3 linked regions of the Macaca mulatta genome follow. The protein of the gene in region 2 interacts with the protein of the main gene of each other region in a pairwise test. Links are inferred from orthologs where the notes say so. Each region holds a gene or a part of one and is shown on either strand. Other genes may lie near its edges. The genes, in order: USHBP1; TXLNB; keratin, type I cuticular Ha8.

Region 1 (3,748 bases), on a different chromosome or scaffold from region 2:
AGCCCACAGTGAAGAGACAGGCAGAGAAGAAGAGTTCACAGGGGAGCCAAATAAAAGCCATATCAGGCCGGGCGCGGTGGCTCAAGCCTGTAATCCCAGCACTTTGGGAGGCCGAGGCGGGTGGATCACGAGGTCAGGAGATGGAGACTATCCTGGCTACCATGGTGAAACCCCGTCTCTACTAAAAATACAAAAAACTAGCCGGGCGTGGTGGCGGGCGCCTGTAGTCTCAGCTACTTGGGAGGCTGAGGCGGGAGAATGGCGTGAACCCGGGAGGCGGAGCTTGCAGTGAGCCGAGATCACGCCACTGCACTCCAGCTTGGGAGACACAGCGAGACTCCGTCTCAAAAAAAAAAAAAAAAAAAAAAAAAGCCATATCGGCTCAGGGGAACATTCTAGCTCTTTTTTTTTTTTCTTTCTTTTTGAGACAGGGTGTTGCCTTGTTACCCAGACTGGAGTGCAGTGGCGTGACCATGGCTCACTGCAGCCTCAACTTCCAGGTGTTAAGCAATCCTCCCACCTCAGCCTCCCGAGTAGCTGGGACTACAGGCATATGCCACCACTCCTGGCTAATTTTTATATTTTATGTAGAGACGGGGGTCTTGCCATGTTGCCCAGGCTTGTCTTAAACTCTTGGGCTCAAGCGATCTGCCTTCCTCAGCTTCCCAGAGTCCTGGGATTACAGGCATGAGCCATGGTGCTCGGCCCATTCTAGATCTTGAGAAATAAAATCCAAGAGTCAGAGCTAGAAGGGCCATAGGCTTGGAGGCTGAGACGAGGAGGGGCTGAAACCTTGGTAGTCAGGTATGTGTGCCCCGCTAGGGCTGCAGGAAGCTGCTGTCCTCAAAAAGGAAACAACACAATAACAAGTCACATGACCAGGGGAGGGGGTTTCCTGTTTCCTGGTCCCTCCCAGGCCAGGCTTGGCCAGCCCAGGCCTGACCAGGCAGTGGCCAGAGTGACCCCAAGACGGTGTCCAGGGACTCAGGCCTCTGATCAAGTTACCCCCAGAAGATCAGAGAGGTAGAGAGCTGAACCCGTCATTTAGGAGGGCCGCGGAGGAGAGGGAATTATTGAGATTGCATTTCCAGGCTCAAAGAGAGGAGGGAAGGGGACAAAGACGTAGTGAAGGTAAAGAAGGCAGAGAAGAAGGGGGAGATCCAGACAACCTTGTTAGGTAGTGAGCTGCCTGTCCAGGGAGGCATTCAAATGTGCCCAATCAACATTGATCACAAAATCCCTTCCTGAGGGGTAGTCAATGTCCCATTTCACAGCAGAGGAAATTGAGGTTGTCCCTTGTCCAGGACAACAAAGGCAAGAGGTCATGGCAGGCTGTGGTTTTAGGGGTTGACGAAGGAGAAGCATTCAGAGAGCACTGGCTTCTGGACAGCAATGAGTGCCCGGGCCACGCGGCCCCGAAGCCGGCGAGGGAGGCATGCTCCACCCGTAAGTGTCGCCCTCTCCCCTCCACACCCAGCTCCTGGGGACCCCAAGGTCCCGTCCTGCCTGGCTCAGAGCGGGGCCACGGGGGTCATTTGCAGGGTGAACTGGACCCCGTGGCTGAGAGTTCAGAGGAGATTGAGGCAGCCAGTGGGAGCTCCAAGCTCAGCTTTGCCCCACCTCCTGTGAGCTCCGGGCTGGAACAGCTGGGCCCCATGGAGGAGGTCAGTGGCCAAGGCCTAGGAAGCAGGTAAGACCCCCTTGGTCTGTGCCCTTCACTCCAGTCCAGATGCATCTTTGCCATCTGCAGATCTGCTGATGTGCCCTCTCTGCTCACACACCTACCATAGCTCCCTGTTGCCTTCAGCCTGACTTCTTTTTTTTTGAGTCTTGCTCTGTCACCCGGGCTGCAGTGCAGTGGCACAATCTCCACTCACAGCAACCTCTGCCTCCTGGGTTCAAGAGGGAGCCTCAGCTTCCCGAGTAGCTGGGATTACAGGTGTGTGCCACCACACCCAGCTAATTTTTGTATTTTTAGTGAGACAGGGTCTTGCCACGTTAGCCAGGCTGGTCTTGAACTCCTGACCTCAGGTGATCCCCCCACTTCGGCCTCCGAAAGTGCTGGGATTACAAGTGTGAGTCGCTGCCCCAGAAGACCCCATTTCCAGAATCTTCTGTCTCTCACCTTCAGGACTTTCCCAGTGCCCGTCACAGTCCAACTTACTATTCACTCTGCTTCGTAGCCCCAGGTCTCCCCTCCAACTTCTCCACCACCTCTGTCCAGCCTCTTCCCTGAATTCCCAGCCTCCCAGTCTCTCCCCGGGATGCAAGTCCCAGAACACGCAGCTCTTGCCAACTCTGCCCCGCTCACACCTCCCGAAGACCATGAAGTTTAAGCCCTAAGAATTCCCTGCCCTGGGCTGAGCGTTGTGGCCCATGCCTGTTATCGCAGAACTTTGGGAGGCCAAGTCGGGCGAATCACCTGAGGTCAGGAATTTGACATCAGCCTGGCCAACATGGTGAAACCCTGTCTCTACTAAAAATACAAAAATTAGCCGGGTGTGGTGGTGGGCACCTGTAATCCCAGCTACTTGGGGGACTGAGGCAGGAGAATCACTTGAACCCAGGAGGTGGAGGTTGCAGTGAGCTGAGATCGCACCACTGCACTCCAGCCTGGGCAACAGAGTGAGATTCTGTCTCAAAAAATAAAAAAGAATTCCCTGCCCAGCATGAAGCGACTCAAGTGCCTGAGTTGGTGTCCACAGGACCGACAAGAAGACGGATGGGGGCTCTGGCAGGGGACTGGCCTCAGCCCCCGAGGTGCCCCACAAACCTGCAGTGGAAGCCTACCAGGCCCCAGAAGCAGCCCTACAGTACAAGGAGACTGTGCCCCCTGGGATTGGGGCCCCCGATGTGTTTCAGACCCTCCAGCACGCTCTGAGCTCCCTGGAGGCAGCGGCTGCAGCCTGGCGCCACCGGCCCCCCAGCCATCCTGGGCCAATGGAGTTGGAAGACACAAGCAAAGGGGGACCAGGTCCCCTTGGGAAGCAGGAAGGGGCAGGGAGCAGCCAGCGAGAGGCAGCTCGCCTGGCTGAGAGGAATGCCTGGCTCCGGCTGGCCCTGAGTAGCCGAGAGGATGAGCTGGTCCGCACGCAGGCCTCCCTGGAGGCCATCCGAGCTGAGAAGGAGACGCTGCAGAAAGAGGTGAGTGGGGCCATCCTGTGTCCTATGTGGCTCTCTGTCTGAGGGAGGAGGCAGGCCCGATGTAGGCAATATTCATTCATCTGTTCATTCCAAAAACCTTTTGAGGCTGGGTGTGGTGGCTCACGCCTATAATCCCAGCACTTTGGGAGATGGAGGCACGAGGATCCTTTGAGGCCAGGAGTTCAAGACCAGCCTGGGCAACACAGCAAGACCCCTACCTCTGCAAAAAATAAAAAATAAAAATCAGCCAGGTTGGCCAGGCACGGTGGCTCACACCTGTAATCCCAGCACTTTGGGAGGCTGAGGTGGGCGTATCACAAAGTCAGGAGTTCAAGACCAGCTTGGCCAACATGGTGAAACCCCATCTCTACTAAAAATAAAAATAAATAAATAAATAAAAGCCAGGTGTGGTGGCATATGCCTGTAATTCCAGCTACTCAGGAGGCTGAGGCAGGAGAATCACTTGAACCCAGGTGATGGAGGTGGCAGTGAGCTGAGATCACATCAATGTACTCCAGTCTGGGGAACAGAGTGAGACTCTGTCTAAAAAAAAAAAAAAAAAAAAAAAAAAAATTCAGTCAGGTTGGCTGGGTGCGGTGGCTCA
Region 2 (3,748 bases):
GACTGTGTGTATTTAAAATGTTTAAATCTAAAATGGCATTAGTTTTCTTTCAAAGTTAAAATATTTAATAGAAGAGCCATCGAATTTATTTAAATGACTCATAACAATAACATCTCTAAGTTCTATTTGATCCATAAATCAGTATTTTGCTTAGTATGAATATTTTGATGTAAATGCATTATTACACTCGATACAGGAGACATTTCTCACTTTTCCGGCATTTTCTTTTTCAGATAAGCAACATGAATGCTTTTTCTGAGGCTCAAACTGGCATCATTTTTCAATTAAGACAGGGAATGAGGAAAGGTATAAATAAATAAACCAAGTAGTATAGAAACACAGGCCGGGTGCGGTGGCTCATATGTGTTATCCCAGCACTTTAGGAGGCCGAGGCGGGTGAATCACTTGAGGCCAAGAGACCAGCCTGGCCAACATGGTGAAACCCCGTCTCTACTAAAAATACAAAAATTAGCCGGATATGGTGGCCGGCACCCGTAGTCCCAGCTACTTGGGAGGCTGAGGTATCAGAATTGCTTGAACCGGGAGGCGGAGGTTGTAGTGAGCCAAGATTGCGCCACTAAACTCCAGCCTGAGCGACAGAGCAAGACTTTGTCTCAAAAACAAAACAAAAGCATGATGCTGCTTATAACAACAATTCCTTAAGTTTCTATAATACTCTTTTATTCCAATATATAAACCAACATTTTAAAAGAGAAAAACAGATTACAACTTTCTCTTCTAAGTCAGGAAGCTCTAGAAAAACAATAATTTTTAAGAAGTAGCAATGTTTCATAAACGAGGAGGAGACCAACTCGAGAAATAATTCAGCAATAATAAGGGCCCTTGGGAAAGGGTGAGAGATGGAACTGAGTCAGAGATTCCAGTGTTTCTGACTATTACCACTTCTAGGGTTGCAATAGATTTGGTTTAGGCCTTTAAGTTATGGTGCATTTTATTTTTAAATAATATTTAACAGTGATGCTGCTAAATAGCAGCATAAAAATAAGGCAAGATCCTCATAATTCGCAGGTTTTGCTGTTGTGGTAACGTGAAAGTGAAAACAAAAGCATACTGTTCTACAACTGCATAGCTTCCTTTTCCTGTTCTTAGGGCAGCAGGTGTCAATCAAATGCTCGGACACCAACAAGAACAGAAAATTCAACACAGACATTGCCACTGATGTGATGCTCACTAAACACTCATAACTTAGAGGAAGTACTTTTTTTCTTTCACTGTATTGAATTCACCAACTTAATTATCAAATAATGTAGCAAACAATTTCATTATCTTCATCACTGGGATTTCTTTATCCTGACCTCTACTTGTTGATTGCACTCATCTATATATAACTTAGGCCTCCCCTAAACACGGAGAAAGACACACGGCACCTGCTGTCCAGCCAAAAGTTATTTTAAGCTATTCTAAAATGAGTCATGCCATTTAGCACTTCATCCTTAAAAATCAAGAAAATCATTTTTCAATCAAATTGAAAACAGTAAACATTTGCTGGCTTAAATCCATACGTAGGTTTTAAAGTTGGGGAGACTATCTTAGGATGAAATAAAATCTCAAGTAAAATGAATTTCAAAATAATTAATTTAAAATAAGCTGTCCATAGGAGTTTTACTTTGGTTAGTCTAAATGCAAGTGGCTGTTTGTATTCAATTTGTTCTTTATCAGATGCCACAATCATTGATTTTTTTAAATTATTAATTCCATGGCTATTCTTTAAACTCCTGTTCCACATTTACTTTAAAACAGAACAGTCATTATAAAGCCTAGGACAACTCAATTCCTAAAAGTAGTCTCAAGACAAGTTAACAAGAGGGAAAAAAACAAAGTCAAAGAACTTCGTTACTTTTCAATCATCCATTGTATATTATGTGGCAAAGAAATTATTTCAAACTTTTATCTTATATAAACTTTATTGCCTTATTTTCCCCTCCCCAGGGAGAGAACTTTTCACTTGTGTTGGCTATTCCAGATGACTATCACAGACACATCCCTCCCTAAGCAACATATTTATTTATAAATACAACAATGAAAAGTTCTCCAACAGTTCACTGGCAATCTCAAAGTTGCAAGTTTCAAACACCACAAACCGCACCCTACATCTTCTCACGGGGCTTGGGGGAGGGTTTATCATACTTACCAGAAGGCAAGAAGCTAAGCAAGAAGAGAGAGGAGAGGAAAGAGGCAGGAAAAAGCAAGTCAGAGCTGCAGCAACAGCAGGGGAGGGCGGGCTGGCTGTGTTCTTACAAGGGAGAGAGAAACCCAATACACACACACACACACATATACACGCGCGCGCACACACACACACACACACGCCACAGGCACTGCTGGAGGCAGCAGTCTGGGGGAGGTGGGGGTAGGGAAAGGAACATCGTATGACACAGTGAGGGGAAAATACATCCAAGCTTCCCTAGCTGTTGCCACGGGAAATATCTTAGCAGAGAGAAGCAGCTGGAAGATCTCATCGGACTCTCCATGTTTTGTTTGTCCTTTCGGAAATTTAAACTCTGACTATATCATCCCCTTTGCAAATGCAGTCTTTCACCATTGTTACCCTTTTGGGTAGAGATCAGTTTTTCTTACTTCTTGGTTTATCTCCAGTGTGGTGGATGATTCATCTTCTTTTTCTTCTTCTACTTCTGCTAGCTTAATTGGTGTCAGGTTTGTTATAGGAATCACGGAAAAAGAAAAACAATGGCATAAGAACAGGGAGGTGGTGGAACTATTTTAATTCTGATGTCATTGGTTTGTTTGCAGAGTTTGAAATAAACATGTAGATGGTGATTTTGGAGCTGAACTGAGTATAATCTTCATGCACATGGTAATTGGTGTGACCTTGGAGCACAGTCTTTCCCAGGTAACTGTTCCCACCTCAGACAAACCCTCAGGGAAGCAGTCAGCTTTTTCTTCCTTAGTTGGTGGCTTTCCCACACTTTGTAAATCCTCAACATGCTCCTGGATCCTCCTCAGAAAAATAAACTCCTTCTGATTCACCATCAAATGCCTCTCTATTAATTTACGTCCATTCCCTTTTTATTTTTCTTTCTGGAGCTTGTGTTCCTATACTTTCAAAGCAGATTCCTCCATCAGTCTCTGCTCTGGGGACAGGCTGCGCATAGTGGCATCCCTTGTGGTAGGCAGAATGATGCCACCCAAAACATCTCCACGTCCTACTCCTTGGAACCTGTGAATATGTTACTTTACATGACAAGAGACTTTGCAGATGTGATTAAGAATCCTGAGGTAGGGAGATTATCTTGAACTATCTGGGTGGGCTAAACGTGATCATAAGGGTATTTATTTATTTATTTTTTGAGATGGAGTCTCGCTCTGCCACTCAGGCTGGAGTGCAGTGGTGCAATCTCAGCTCACTGCAACCTCCACCTCCTGGGTTCAAGTGATTCTCCTGCCTCAGCCTCCTGAGTAGCTGGGATTACAGGTGCCCGCCACCACACCCAGCTAATTTTTTGTATTTTTAGTAGAGATGGGGGTTTCGCTGTGTTTGGCTAGGCTGGTCTCAAACTCCTGACCTCATGATCCGCCCGCCTCGGCCTCCCAAAGTGCTGGGATTACGAGCGTGAGCCATTGCGCTCAGTCTCATAAGGGTCTTTATAAATGAGGGAGGAAGGCAGTAGGATTGGAGGCAGAAAAGGAGATTTGATGACCTCAGCATAGGTCAGGAAGCTTCTAGAAGCTGGGAAAGGCAAGGAAGCAGATTCTACTCTAGAGCCTC
Region 3 (3,748 bases), on a different chromosome or scaffold from region 2:
CTGTCACAAATTTTGGAAGAAAACTTTTGGGATCTCAGCAGTCATGTGTCTTGGATCCCTAGTACCAAGAACTATCTAAATGTGGAATGTGTAATATAACCATTTTAGAGACAGGGGTTTCCCCTGGCATCTTCTGATTTGGCCCTTGGAGAAACTCTGTTTTATTGTATCAATACCTCCACATCTGAGGTATTTTCTGAGATACAAAGGGAAAAATACACAACGTCAGATTTTTGTTTTACATCTTCACTTCAACTTCTTGCCTGGTTTCTAGGCCTTTGAATCCTTCTTAGTTCTAGCAATGACACAGTAGTTATCCTTGGGGGTGGGAGATTTGGTGGTAGTCAAGGTGAAGAAATAGCTTCTGCAGTTGAAAGAAGCTGATGTTGAGAATAGGCTTTATACTTCATAGTGGGGTTGATCTTAGAAAAATGACTTCACATCTCTTGTCCTCAATGGCTTATTTATTTATTTTATAAAATTAAGAGTACCCACCTCCCAGGTTGGAAGTAAAGATTAAAAGGTATCACTGCTCAATCCCCTAGCTCATAGGGTGAAGGCTCATGACTGATTTTAGAATCAAGGAAGCAAAGTATGAAGAGAGCCCACAGAGGCTCTGATCACTCAATGTTCTTTGGCTTTCATGAGTTCTTTTCTCAAAGTTCTTATTTGAGGTTCAGTAAGATTATTGCTCATTTCTTTTTGTTTTTTTCTGGCTTCTTGAGCTTGCCTTCTTGGTCGAGATAAGCCATGGTTTTTGGAGTCATCCTCATTTTCATAAGCTTCTCAGATACCTTGTTTGAAACATCACATCTATCCAAGTTACAGTTGTTCCCCAATGACAGGAACTGTTCTGTGCTTAACCAACTATATGTCAAGTGTCAGCAAGGTGCCTGACAAATGGGACATAGCTAGGGGATGTGTGTTGAGTGAATGGATTCATCTAAGTCTTGTTGCTCCTCAAAGTGAGTCTGAAAGGCAACCAACTAAAGAAAGAAGAAATGTAGGACTTCTTGATAACCCAAGGCCGTAACATCCACCAATACCAAGACTTAGTTTCTTCCTTGGATAGGGAAGGCTGGTTGAGTCTTAACCCAAGTGAGAACCATTGCCATTACAAGGGTTAGTCCTCCTGCTACACCACTGACCAACAGGAAAGTTTGTGTCTCCAGAGTGGAGACATCCATAAAGAGGCCAAACCCAGTCAAGGTCTAAGCATCTGATGGCTAAAATAACTTTGCTTCTTTGAAAAATAATAAAAACCTTCTGACCTCCCACCAGCAGCCAACCTGATTTCAAAGAGCCAAGAGGCATCTCAGATTCGTCAACATTCCTTTAATGAGCTGAGAAACTTTTCATGGTAAACTCAGCAGCTGAGTAACAGGATGATGGCACCACAACAGGTAGATAATCAAGGCAGGAGGTCAAAGCATTGGAGCCAACACCCACCCAGGACGGGGTATAAAAGGGCTGGGAGGAGAGGAGACCTCAGTCTCAGTGGCTCGGCGTTCCCAGCTGATCTGAAGCTCCTGTGCAGTCTCAGCCCTACACCATGACCTCCTCCTACAGCAGCTCCTCATGCCCTCTGGTTTGCACCATGGCTCCTGGAGCAAGAAATGTCTCTGTCTCTCCCATCGACGTTGGGTGCCAGCCCGGGGCAGAGGCCAACGTTGCCCCCATGTGCCTTTTGGCCAACGTGGCACATGCCAACCGAGTCCGCGTGGGGTCGACTCCCCTGGGCCGCCCCAGCCTCTGCCTGCCCCCAACCTGCCACAATGCTTGTCCCTTGCCAGGGACCTGTCACATTCCTGGCAACATTGGAATCTGTGGGGCCTATGGTGAAAACACCCTGAATGGCCATGAGAAGGAGACCATGCAGTTCCTGAACGACCGCCTGGCCAACTACCTGGAGAAGGTGCGCCAGCTGGAGCGGGAGAACGCGGAGCTGGAGGCCACACTCCTCGAGAGGAGCAAGTGCCACGAGTCCACTGTGTGCCCGGACTACCAGTCCTACTTCCGCACCATCGAGGAGCTCCAGCAGAAGGTGAGGTGTGGGATCACTTGGGCGTGCTGGGTCTGAGAAGGCAGAAGCCTTCGCAGGAGGAATCCACATAAGGTCCAGAGAGCTTTGGGTTCTTGGTTTCTCTTGGACATGAGCGTAGACACCACACGTGGAGTGGGAGCTTAGAGTATGATGCTTTGTGTGTGAACCGTCTTTCCGTTTTCCTCAGATCCTGTGCAGCAAGGCCGAGAATGCCAGGCTGATTGTACAAATTGACAATGCTAAGCTGGCTGCCGATGACTTTAGGATCAAGTAAGTCAGGTGGAGGAGGGCCAGGGTGACTCCCTCCCCACCCTCCATCCCAGTGCCCAAATACTTGTTGAGTGAGTGAATGTTTGTCCTGTCTTCCTTGCTAGATTCTCCACAGTAAAATTTTCATTACAATCAAAGCTGATGAAAGATGGAAGGGAAAACTCCTCATTAATCCAAGCATATATGTTTGTCCTCCTTCATTTATTTCCCTAAAATGGAGGATAAGGGAGCCTGAGTTCATTCACCAGGAGCAAAATGAGGGGATTTCAAGGATGAACTGAGCAAGACAGCCATTGGGTTTCATATATAAGTCAGAGAAGTCGTTTACAGATGAGTCTTTGTTCAGATTTAATTATGGAGCCCTAAGGTACCAGGCATAAGGTACCTAGGCAAAAATGAGAGAGGGGAAGACAGCTGAAAAGTAAGGCATAAGGAGCCGCAGATCACGATCAGGCACCTGGCTATTGCTTATCTTTGGTAACTGACAGTCCCCGCAATGGCACGAGTGTTGGTCCCAAGATGCATGATCTTAGGCAAGTCAGTTCATCTTCCTGAACTGCAGTTGCCACAGAATACAATGGCAAAAATGTATATTGTGCAATGTAGTGTTGTGATTGCTTCATTAGACCATGAGCTCTTTGAGAAGGGGGGCTGTGTCTAATTCACCTTCGAGGCCAGAGGGCTAAACAGTGAACAAATGAGGATCCAAGGTGGTGTGGGAGGTAGGAAGGCAGGGCAGCCGAGAGGGGCTCTTGGGGCATTCTTGTTGACCCTGTACCTCCCGTGATGGAAGGCTGGAGAGTGAGCGCTCCCTACGCCAGCTGGTAGAGGCGGACCAGTGTGGGACGCAGAAGCTCCTGGATGACGCGACCCTGGCCAAGGCTGACCTGGAGGCCCAGCAGGAGTCCCTGAAGGAGGAGCAGCTGTCCCTCAAGAGCAACCATGAGCAGGTGTGGCCCTGGCTGCTCAGACTCCCGGGGAGGGTGCTGGGCAGACAGGGGAGCTCCCTGGCCCCGGGGCTCTCAGAGCATTGTCTGGGCTCAGCTGGTATCAGGATGCAGGACTGAGGGGGGTCTGAGGGTCCAGAGGGCCTCTGTGGAAAGTGCAGACTTGCCTTGGGCACGAGGAAGGTGTCCAGGTGGGCTCTCCCCACTGCACTCTCAGCAAGACTTTCCCATTTGCTTGTGTGTGGGACTCCCCTCCCACTGCTTGCAGGGTCAGGGTCCTGGTGCTGTCTGCTCCATCAAAGGTCCTCTCTTCACACAGGCTGTCTGTCCCTTCCTCCTTTCTGCAGGAAGTAAAGATTCTGAGGAGTCAACTGGGGGAGAAGCTCCGGATTGAGCTGGACATTGAGCCCACCATTGACCTGAACAGGGTGCTGGGGGAGATGCGGGCTCAGTACGAGGCCATGGTGGAGACCAACCGCCAGGATGT

Evidence for each region.
Region 1: the proteins of TXLNB (region 2) and USHBP1 interact in binary tests that used the Homo sapiens proteins (3 or more experiments, as listed by UniProt). The two-hybrid records come from large-scale screens. The link is inferred for Macaca mulatta from reciprocal best matches to the Homo sapiens genes TXLNB and USHBP1.
Region 3: the proteins of TXLNB (region 2) and keratin, type I cuticular Ha8 interact in binary tests that used the Homo sapiens proteins (3 or more experiments, as listed by UniProt). The link is inferred for Macaca mulatta from reciprocal best matches to the Homo sapiens genes TXLNB and KRT38.

Annotation. Positions count from the first base shown.
Region 1 is NC_133424.1:17,748,602-17,752,349, reverse strand, and holds the start of USHBP1 (harmonin-binding protein USHBP1), read left to right. Parts: upstream 1-948; 5' UTR 949-1,131; intron 1,132-1,344; 5' UTR 1,345-1,392; coding exon 1,393-1,446; intron 1,447-1,541; coding exon 1,542-1,690; exon of another isoform or gene 1,691-1,923; intron 1,924-1,986; exon of another isoform or gene 1,987-2,705; coding exon 2,706-3,144; intron 3,145-3,748.
Region 2 is NC_133409.1:44,399,470-44,403,217, forward strand, and holds the start of TXLNB (beta-taxilin), read right to left. Parts: upstream 2,351-3,748; 5' UTR 2,153-2,350; intron 1-2,152. UniProt on the Homo sapiens protein: Promotes motor nerve regeneration. May be involved in intracellular vesicle traffic.
Region 3 is NC_133421.1:65,782,602-65,786,349, reverse strand, and holds the start of keratin, type I cuticular Ha8, read left to right. Parts: upstream 1-1,490; 5' UTR 1,491-1,552; coding exon 1,553-2,044; intron 2,045-2,231; coding exon 2,232-2,314; intron 2,315-3,107; coding exon 3,108-3,264; intron 3,265-3,608; coding exon 3,609-3,748.